Linked DNA regions of Drosophila melanogaster. The protein of the gene in region 1 purifies or fractionates together with the protein of each later gene. This does not show direct contact. Each region holds a gene or a part of one and is shown in the gene's direction. Other genes may lie near its edges.

The links.
Region 2: the proteins of Sec15 (region 1) and Ehbp1 purify together in Drosophila melanogaster (affinity purification with western blotting, with the first as the bait; one study listed by BioGRID). This does not show direct contact.

The regions. Positions count from the first base shown.
Region 1 is NT_033777.3:21,104,463-21,109,985, reverse strand, and holds Sec15 (secretory 15), read left to right. Parts: upstream 1-2,013; 5' UTR 2,014-2,092; coding exon 2,093-2,168; intron 2,169-2,232; coding exon 2,233-3,350; intron 3,351-3,414; coding exon 3,415-4,521; 3' UTR 4,522-4,940; downstream 4,941-5,523. Other genes in the region: rtet (tetracycline resistance), read right to left, coding at 261-334, 398-739, 936-1,379; Tbc1d22 (TBC1 domain family member 22), read right to left, coding at 4,970-5,104, 5,177-5,400. UniProt on the Drosophila melanogaster protein: Component of the exocyst complex involved in the docking of exocytic vesicles with fusion sites on the plasma membrane.
Region 2 is NT_033778.4:17,012,597-17,017,822, reverse strand, and holds the start of Ehbp1 (Eps15 homology domain containing protein-binding protein 1), read left to right. Parts: upstream 1-1,928; 5' UTR 1,929-2,164; intron 2,165-2,620; 5' UTR 2,621-2,770; coding exon 2,771-2,874; intron 2,875-3,826; coding exon 3,827-4,034; intron 4,035-4,095; coding exon 4,096-4,277; intron 4,278-4,341; coding exon 4,342-4,538; intron 4,539-5,048; coding exon 5,049-5,226. Other genes in the region: Paip1 (Poly(A) binding protein interacting protein 1), read left to right, coding at 24-857.

The DNA.
Region 1 (5,523 bases):
GTAAAATCCAGACATAATCATTGGTAATAATCTTCTAGCTAACTGGACTCAATTCCCTGTAACTACAATTAATCAAAAGCAATCTAGAATTTACTAACTGATAAGGCAATCAAACAAACGTGTCCGAGAACCCGGCATGATAATAGTGTCTATCAAACCAGTCAGGCAAGTCCGGGTGGCTTGCAGTTCTCACCGTATGACGATTTCGATTTGATCACACGACAGGTTTTCGAGACATGCTAATTAAAACATTGAATTACCTAAATATGGCCGAAAAATTGAGCAACTGCAGGCCATAAGACAGTGCAGATGATATCTCCTTAACACGTTTCTCCTGCGAAAAGGTCAAACAATTAATGGTGTTGGGAATATATTTAATTTAGCCAACCGTACGCACCTTGGGCAACGTTTCCCGCAGACAGCAGGCCAGGACCACAAGATCTCCAACTGCCAGGCCAAACGCCAGCAGAGAGGGCAACACAAACCAAGTACTTCCACTTTTATCGGAGAATATGGCGAACAGGGCTCCAATCATGGGCCCCACAATAAAGCCCAGCGAGAAGGCCACACCCACAAGGGCCATACCGCGTCCACGGGTCTTAACGCTGGACACATCCGTAATGACGGACATGCACAGGGATATGTTGCCCTTGCTAATTCCGCCCACGAAGCGGGCCAAAACGAACAGGGCAAAGTTGCTGGAGCAGGCCCAGATCAGATAGGATAACGCAATACCACTCTATAGATGAAAGAAGACGTAGCTTAAGGAAGGTTTACTTATTTGTGGCTTAGCTAAGGAGTTTGAATTTGACGAATTCCACGCTTTTGGATTGAACTCGTAATAGCATGAAATGTTGACCAAGCCAAAAAGAAAACTAACAAGACTAGTTTAGTGTTTAGTGCACATTAAAGCATTGAGCACTGGGATTACCTACCGCACAAGCCAGCAGGACTGGTTTCCGTCCGTAGTAGTCCGAGAGTCCTCCGACAATCGGACTGGCCACGAACTGCAGGAAGCTGAACATGGAGCCGAGAAAGCCTCCGAATAGCACCGATATGTAGCGATCCGGGGCGCCCAGGAGCTGCTGGAACCAGCGCACCCGATCCGTGAGCACGGCATACAAGCCGGAGCTGTCGTTCTGGCGATAGTGCTCCAACAGCGAGGGCAGCAGCGGCAGAATGATGGTGAAGGCCAGTAAGTCGAAGAGCAGCGATACGAAGATTATGTATATCATGGGATCACTCTTCTCCGGCTTTCCATTCTCCGATGCTTCCTTATCCAGCGCTTTATTGTTGTTGTGATGGTGGCTTCCGGTTTGGCTGTGGCTTTGCTTCTCCATGGCAGCGGTTCCATTGTGGCGACTCCGTAGGTCGGCCATCTTTGCTGATTTCGGGTGTTTAGCTTGTGCCGTGATTGCGTGCGTGTACGGGTGTTACTGCAACATAACTGTATCAACGGAACCACAACTCCACCGACAACTCTTGGCCCTCTCGAGAAGCGGCCAGCCAAAGCGAAGCCAAAGTGAAAGCTGAACAGCAACAGCTGTTCCAAGGCGGCCTATAACGAGCAGACGGCATTCCAACCTGTTGCTTGCTGCGGATATTTGAAATAAGGGCGCCAAAATGAGTTATTCAAACATCTGTAATTAATTACTTTTCTTATCAAAATTACCAACGAATATTATGTTGGTGAACATTACTAATAGCATAGGTTTAAGTTGTAAATATTTAATTAATTTATAAATATTTTACAAATCATTGTTTCCTGCTTAAATAGTTAAGAACCGGATTTTGATATACATATATAAATTAAGTTTATGATTCGGTAGTTTTCGCCTATTTGATTTATTTATTTTATTACAATCCTAGTGATAATATCTTTTTAAAAGATAATGCAGTCAGATATTCTCTGACACAACTTTGTATTATAATTTAAAACATACCGCTTAAAATTGTTATCGCCTAGTATCGAAAGTCAAACCTCGATAACACTTAGTAAATATTCGATATACCATACCGATAAGTCGGCGAAATAATTGCTCATTAAAGTTTGGTAAAAAGTTGTTTAGAAGAGAAAAAAGAGCGTTATAAGATGTCCAAAGTGACCGTGCAAGACATTGAGGCGGTGGACGACTACTGGGGACCAACATTCCGTTCGATCCTTGAAGGTGACTGCGAATAGAAGCAATTGGCACACTTTGTTTACGCCCATTTTCCTTTTTTCCCGGACAGGCAACAACACTAAGCAGATTGGCGACCAACTGGAGCAGCGGATACGGAGCCATGACAAAGAGATCGAGCGGATCTGCAATCTGTACTACCAGGGCTTCATCGATTCAATTCAGGAGCTGCTCCAGGTGCGCACGCAGGCCCAACAGCTGCACAACGAAGTGCATTCCTTGGACACGTCCCTTCGCCAGATCAGCGCCTCGCTGATTCAGCAGGGCAATGATCTAGTGCGGGCCCGTCAGATCGAATCCAATCTGGCCAGCGCCATCGAGGCACTCAAATCCTGTCTGCCCGCATTGGAGTGCTACATGAAGTTCACACAGCAGGCAAAGAACAAGCAGTACTACCAGGCGCTGAGAACTCTGGAGACTCTGGAGACGGAGCACCTAACGCGCTTGAAGACACACAACTACCGATTCGCCACCCAGATGCAGATACAGATTCCCATAATCAAGGAAAACATCCGTCGCTCTTCCGCCTCGGACTTTCGAGAGTTCCTCGAGAACATCCGGAAGTTTTCACCCCGCATCGGCGAGCTGGCCATCACACACACAAAACAGCTCCAAAAGCGTGATATCAACGCCATCATTGCCGAGCACATGCAGCAGATGAATGGCGGCGAAGCCGGCGGAGCAGGTGCTGGCGGGGATGATGATGGTGCCAACGTTAGTGCCCAGGATCTCATTGACTTCTCCCCCATCTACCGCTGCCTACACATCTACATGGTGCTGGGTCAGCGGGAGTACTTCGAGAAGGACTATCGTCAGCAGCGCAGGGATCAGGCCAAACTGGTGCTTCAACCGCCGCCCAACATGCACGACAATTTGGAGGCCTACAAAACGTACATCTGTGCCATCGTTGGCTTCTTCGTGGTTGAGGATCACGTTAAAAACACGGCGGGCGATGTCGTGACCAGCAGTTATTTGGAGGATCTGTGGTCCAGCTCGTTAACCAAGTTTGTCAACGAAATCAGCATGAGTTCTTCGTCCTGCACCGATCCTAATATCCTTCTGCGCATTAAGAACCTCATTATGCTGTCCATCAACACCTTTAAGTGCTACGGTTACACCGTGAACATCCTCTGGGAACTATTGCACAACATGCGGGATCATTATAATGAGGTGAACGTTAAGAAATTCTATAAGCCATTCTGTTGTTTGTAAAACTCTTGGCTTTCCTTTCCAGGTTTTACTGCAACGCTGGGTACATGTGTTCCGCGAAATTCTCGACAAGGAACAGTTCCTGCCCATGGTTGTACAAAACACGGAAGAGTATGAATGCATCATCGAACGATTCCCCTTCCACTCGGAACAGCTTGAAAATGCTCCGTTTCCGAAGAAATTCCCCTTTTCGAGAATGGTGCCGGAGGTTTATCACCAGGCCAAGGAATTCATGTACGCCTGCATGAAGTTCGCCGAGGAGCTCACCCTATCGCCCAACGAGGTGGCCGCCATGGTGCGCAAGGCGGCCAATCTGCTGCTCACACGAAGTTTCAGTGGCTGTCTATCTGTGGTGTTCCGCCAGCCGAGCATCACGCTGACGCAGCTCATTCAGATCATAATCGACACGCAGTACTTGGAGAAGGCAGGGCCGTTTCTGGACGAGTTCGTGTGTCACATGACCAACACGGAGAGGAGCGTATCTCAGACACCATCGGCCATGTTCCACGTGGCCCGGCAAGATGCCGAGAAGCAGGTGGGCCTACGTATTTGCTCGAAGATCGATGAGTTCTTCGAACTAAGCGCCTATGACTGGTTACTAGTAGAGCCGCCGGGAATAGCCTCCGCCTTCATTACGGACATGATTTCCTACCTTAAGAGCACCTTTGACAGCTTTGCCTTCAAGCTGCCCCACATCGCCCAGGCGGCCTGCCGACGCACCTTCGAGCACATTGCAGAGAAGATTTACTCGATCATGTATGACGAGGATGTGAAGCAGATTTCCACGGGAGCACTCACACAAATCAACTTGGATCTGATGCAGTGCGAGTTTTTTGCGGCCTCGGAACCTGTGCCTGGTCTAAAGGAAGGAGAGCTGAGCAAGTACTTCCTACGTAACCGTCAGCTGTTGGACCTGCTCATTCTAGAGGAATGGAGCACGTATTTCCATGACTATGGCAAGCAAGAGAACCGCTACCATCTGGTGCAACCGCAGTCCATTATTGTGATACTGGAAAAGATCCGCGAGGCGGACAAAAAGCCAATTTTCTCGTTGGTGCGAAAGAATGACAAGAAGAAGCTTTTGGAGACGGTGCTCAAGCAGCTTAAGCACATTGCCGATAGACAGAATTAGAAATATCAGGCTTGTAGTTAGTCGCTTTAAGTCCTTGTTGAATTCGTGTAATCATAAACTATAGCTTTTCATCTTTATTGTTTAGGCTAATTTGAATTTTCACATGGAAAAAGTATTTAGTTCTCATTACATTTGATTCGATTTGTTTTTATAAAAGACAAATTTCAATTGAAACAGCTCGACCCGTTGAACGTGTAAAATTGTATTTTGAATTTTTGATTCTTATGTACAAAAAGCGCAGAACTTTAGCGGTTGCCTACGTACGGATTGTTGATAAATACAAAACGAAAACGACATAGAATGAAAACAAACGGAGAGGAACGTCTAAATAACAAATTGTATATAATTATTAGATGTATGTAGCGTACGTGTATTGTGTAGGTATATTCCGCAAATCGTAATAAACTAACTTCTAAGTTACGTATATGCGTTGTTTGTGTTGCTTTTGTCAACTCTTCGTCTCCAAATGCTTGGGCGCATCCGCATACGTGAACTTCAGGCGGAATGCCTCGGCCAGCAGAACGTTGATTTGTCGATCGGACCAGTTGTGTGTTGGCAGATTTTGTAGCAGCAACATGAGGCCCTATCACATAGCAAGATGGCAATGATTAGTAGACGTTGCAGGAAGGGAAGATCTTTTCGTCTGGAGACTCACCTGGAAATCGTTTTGTTGCATCAGCTGCTCCTTCCAGTGCAGAAGGAATGCCGCGCACACGTACAAGTGGAACAGGGCAAAGCCGTCAGACTCTGCGAGATATGTGTCCCACAATCGGATGGTGCAGTGCAGCGGCAGCTCGCGTGTCAGCAGATTGTTCATCCAGCGAAATGAGAATTGCAAGTAGTCGACGCCATGTGCCTGTAGATGACGATGTAAGTTCACTGAAAGCACAAATTACAATTTATTATCATCACTCGGCAATTGTAGGTTGCATGTCCAATTGGCTTATCTAGTAATTATTTTTATTTGTTCCGAACATTTGCGATCTTAAAAATGTTTATACG
Region 2 (5,226 bases), on another chromosome or scaffold:
ACATATTAATGATCTCCATCCAGAATCCGGGCCAATTTGATTCGATTGCATCACGCTTCCTGACCATTTTCGATGGCATGGAGAACAACCAATTCGTGCTCTCCATCGCCATGGAGGACATCTTCGAGAAGTCGATCGAGCAGCCGAACTTCCGGTACATGGGCGCCAAGCTGTACAACCTGCTGCACATGCTCAACTCGAAGCCGGACTCGCTGTTCCACACGCTGCTCAAGTGCAAGCTTGACTACCACCAGGAGGAAGTGACCAAGTACATGCGCTCCAACGAGCAGCAGAAGGTTCGCGAGACTGCCCTCTTTCTGGCCGAGCTGTACATGCAGTTGCGCGGCGACGACGACTCGCGCATCCAGTTGATCGCTGTGAATATTGTATATTCGCTGAGTAAGCTGCTGGCCAGCGAGAGCAACGAAAATGTTCGCTGCCTGTGCCAGACCCTCAAGCTGGCTGGATATGATCTGACAGCCGATTGCCCCAAGGACATACAGGAGATCATCACCGCCCTGCAGGCGATCGAGCTGAAGTCGCCGGGCAAGTACCCCATGGCGGCAAGTGTAATTGCCCTGCAGCAGAACAACTGGGGCAGGAAGGTGTCGAACGCTCTGGGAGACGATGAAGATACAGTGAAGGAGCCGCCGCGCCTGAGCGATGAGCCCGTCTTCTACGGACCTGATGGCCGCGAATTGACTGCCGAGGAGACCGATTTTCTGGCCGGCGGGGATAATGATGGTGATGATGACTTTGATGGGGATGGTGCCGACCTAGAAATCGACGCGGAAATGGACGAGGAAACCGAGCGGGCATACAAGGAGTTCTGTAAGCAGGGCAAACAGAAGACCTAGACGACTGTGGAGAACTGTGTTGCATTGGACGGATTCATGAGGGCGTGGTCGTTGGCAGGATATAGCTTGGGTATAGGAGGGATGGTGGAGAGCGTAGGAGTGGAGCATTTCCAACAAATTCTCGGTTGTAGGATCGATGATTGCAGTTGCTTGGTTCAGAACCAATTGTGATTATCTTTTAAATTATTGATAGCAAATTGTTTGTGATATCTTCGTGTTTCATGCACCTATCATAATATGACATGTGTTAATGACTTTGTTCGAACGCTTTTTGTGTGATACGCCCGTTTTGTATCTCTGATAACTAACTCTCTGCCATGATAGCCAGTTCATTCATTCAGTTTGTACTTTTTAACTTGAATTAAATAAATTTGAATAGTCGCGAAGCCAGGATTTCGACCGTAAACGGTAAAAGAAATATATATATATATAACTATAGCCACTGCCACGCCGAAGTGAACCGCTGATACAGACACACACGCAGCTGCACTCAAAGACTCGTACTCATATGCGCACCCACACACTTGCATGGCACATATGCAGACCCATAAACGGCAGAAAAAAACAAAATCGCAAATTTCACATTCAATTAAACGACATTCTCTTGATCATACAAATCGAAAAACGAAAGAAAAAAAAACGACAGCAGCCACGCCTAATTTTTAAATAATTGTAATTAATGTTAACGAATCCATGATTTAATTATAAATAAAATTTATCGAATTGCGTTTAAAACAAAATCAAATTGAGCGATTTTATTGAAACGGGAAAGAAGCCTGTTCGGTTTTCGAACTAAAAGCGGTTATATTTTCGTTATTTCTAATTATGTCGAAAGAGTCGAGTATATGATAAGTGCAAGCGGGGTTTCGAACCTTTCGGATGCTATGACTAAAGGTATTGTGTTGATCTATTGCTGCTGTTTGTGATGTTTTTAAAACAAATACATGAGTGCTTTAAAGTTGCTTTATAGCTGGAAGAACTAACAAACCTTTTCAACAAAAACAATCGATATTACCTCACCGCCTAAAACAACAAGCGCATATGTTTGGCTTATCGATAGTCTGGAGCTATTGCAGTTTGTCCACCTCTACTCAATCTGCTCGCGACAGTAAAAAAAAATCGGATCGAAGTGTAAATCGGTGTGAATTAAATTATTCGCTGTGATGTGATAAAAGCTAAACGGCAGCGAGTGCTCGTAATAAACGCGCAAATGTTCGGCGTAGTGTCCCCAAATCGAAGGACCTTGAAACGAAATTGGAGACCAAAACAAAAGTGACGTCATAATGGTGCTATTTATGTATTTGTATGTACGTCTAGGCATCATCTATGTATACAAATTTCGCTTAAAAATTTGCCAGTGAGACGCAAACACACAAACACACGCCCGCAGGAACAATAATAGATAAAAACAAAACTAGCAATAAGCTGTAAATCTCGAGTATTTATAAGAAATTCAAGAAAGACAAAGGCAAAGTGACAACTAAAGGTCACAAAACAGCGAAAAAGAAAAACAAATACAACACAACACAAGAACTGTGCGCGCGTGTGTGTGCGTGTGTTTTTTGAGTGTTTTTGCAGACAACAAAGCAACAAAATTCAAAAATAAATTTACAATAGTGTTTTCCGCCTTGCACACTCTAACTTTCGATTTTAAGAGGGTCTGCCTTTTTTTTTTGGTTCCCTTATGAATGAACCTTGTAAACTGACCCAGAAATTTATAGCATATAACCAGGCGTCTATATTGTTTTTCATTCCGCATCCAGATCGCCTGCAGAAGTTAGCTGGTAAAAATGACACAATAGATTACTGAAAAAGCAAAGCAACGACGATCCAAACGGGTCTAATTTTTATACAAACCCCAACACCCCCAAAGATATCCAAATTAAAGAGCCCTACGATCCACACCCGCTAAGATGGCCAGCGTATGGAAGCGATTGCAGCGCAATTTCAAGCGAGCCGCCAAATTCCAGTTCACCGCATCGTACCACGATCTGCATCTGGAAACCACCGCCAAGTGGTAAGTGCCCCACATGAAAGTGGATTAGTTCACCGGGAGTCGGCTAAAGTGGGCGGGGCGGGTCGGTGGCGGTCTTAAGTGCCTTTCAACTTGAGGGGTTAATAGCACGTTTCTGGCGGAAAGATATCTCGTTTTTAGATTCCTTTTTGTGTATCATTGAAATCAATATATTTTTTTCCGTTTCCATGTAATTTTTGTGTTTCTTCAAAAGAATATCTTCTTATTAATGTTTATATTTACTTGCCTTATCTTGCATTCGCGTCTATTTTTATTAATGAATATATACGTATATATATTTATGCGCAAAAAATGTGTAGACCCTACTGCAGTATCATTTGTTGAAGTTATAATATTTCTTATCATTTTCAAAGAACAAGCTAAACAAACGCTTATAGTTGAAGATTTATTTTCCCTTCATATACAATGATTGTTTCATAAATACGATAAAATATTGATATGACTAGTTACTTGACCTTTATTACTCTGCACCTTTAATTTACCTTTATCTAAATAAGTACATATTTCGGAGAATATCATTGAGCAACTAATTATATAGTTTAATTCAATTGCCGAGAGGAGTTAGTCATGCAAATAAATTAAGCAAAATATTGAAAATAGTATAATATTGATGAGGCTATTGGCTACTGAATTCCATGACTACGAATTTATAATATAGTCGTACTCCATTTGCTATCTATATCTTTGTATTTGCAAATGACCCCAACTTTTCCTGTTGACATGAAATGTTTTGTACAGACTTTTGTTTAATAAACCAATCATCGCATATATTTATCAACTGAAGAACCCACATATGCATATAATGACGCCGCATCCGGTGTTCAGAAATTGTTATTCATGGTCTTGTATATAAAATACATGATCAGAGTTGAAAGAACTTTGAGAAACCAATTTGGCATGAAATGGTTAACAATCATGTGATGGCCAATTTCAGGCGGCCGTCGAACCTCTCTATCGTTTGGACCAGAAGATCTAGACGAGTGGCCAGTGCTCCTTTGCCATGGGAGCCGGACATGATGAACCCCTTGGTGGGCAATATATCCTGGCCAGTGCCCGACAATCACACCATATCCGTCACCCTGTTTAAGGATCCTCGGACACACGAGCTGGAGGACAAGGACTGGACGTTTGTCATCGAAGATGTGGGTTAAATAATGTCATGGATGCATAGAGTTGCCAGTAATTGGTGTTACCTTCCATTAGGTCACTCCAATGGGCAAGAAACGTGTGCTGGCCAATGCCAGCATTAATATGAGGAAGTATGCCAGCATAGAATCCACTCAGCAGAGCTTTACCTTGAGCCTAAAGCCAGTCTCGAAGAAGATTACTGCAGCCAGTTTGGAGCTCACGATTAGCTGTGTATTTTTGCGAGAAGGAAAGGCTACGTAAGTCGACTGCCCTTTAATTATCTACTTAGAATGGAGCCTCACTACTAAGTTTCGATTCCAGAGACGAGGACATGCAGAGCGTTGTCTCCATGATGTCCGTGAACAACAATGATGTGGCGCCTTTGGATGACTTGGAGGATATTCCAGATCTTGATGGCTTTAGTGAAATTACGGACAATTTTAATGACTTTACACAGCAACTGGAGCATATGACAACTAGCCTAAATGGCTGCATTGATGTGGCCACGCCTCAAAGTGGTAAGAAATCTTGTACTATAACTTAAAAATTATGTTCTATGTGCTAAAATTCAAGTATTTGTATCTGTTAGTATGTAAAATGGACTAGATCGTATCTATTATGTATATTGAGTGCTAAACATAAGAAGCAGGGATTTTAAATATTGTAAAGCTCTGTTTTCGTTATGTAAGGCACTTTGGTTAAGTATGTTATATACCCTGTAAATGTTTTCTGATCTCTAGATCAGAATTCCCAAACTACGCATCTAATGGATACCATATATGTACACTTGATGATGCATGATCTAACAAACAACAAATTAATTGATTCTAATTATAGCATCTTAGCTTTAGATACTTTGTACAGACACTTTTATCTGACGGAAAACGAAATTATTTCCTTTCTATATCCCATGACATCTACATCACATCACGTATCTTGAATGGTTTCCTGCAACTTGTAATTTGTGCGTAAATTGTTAAATGTACATTTCCTTTATTTTCGTTTTCTTTTTGTTTGTCATTATGTAGTACCTTCGTTATCAGAAGATCCAACTCCGTTGGCCGAGTCATTTAATCCCTTGCATTTTGAACTAGACGCCGACGGCAAGCGGGAAGCTGCTAACAAGTTAGACTTGCCCACAGCTGCATCCGGTGGTTCTAGTGGTGCTGAAGAGTCCCTGAAAACGCCGAATGGATTGCAGCATGT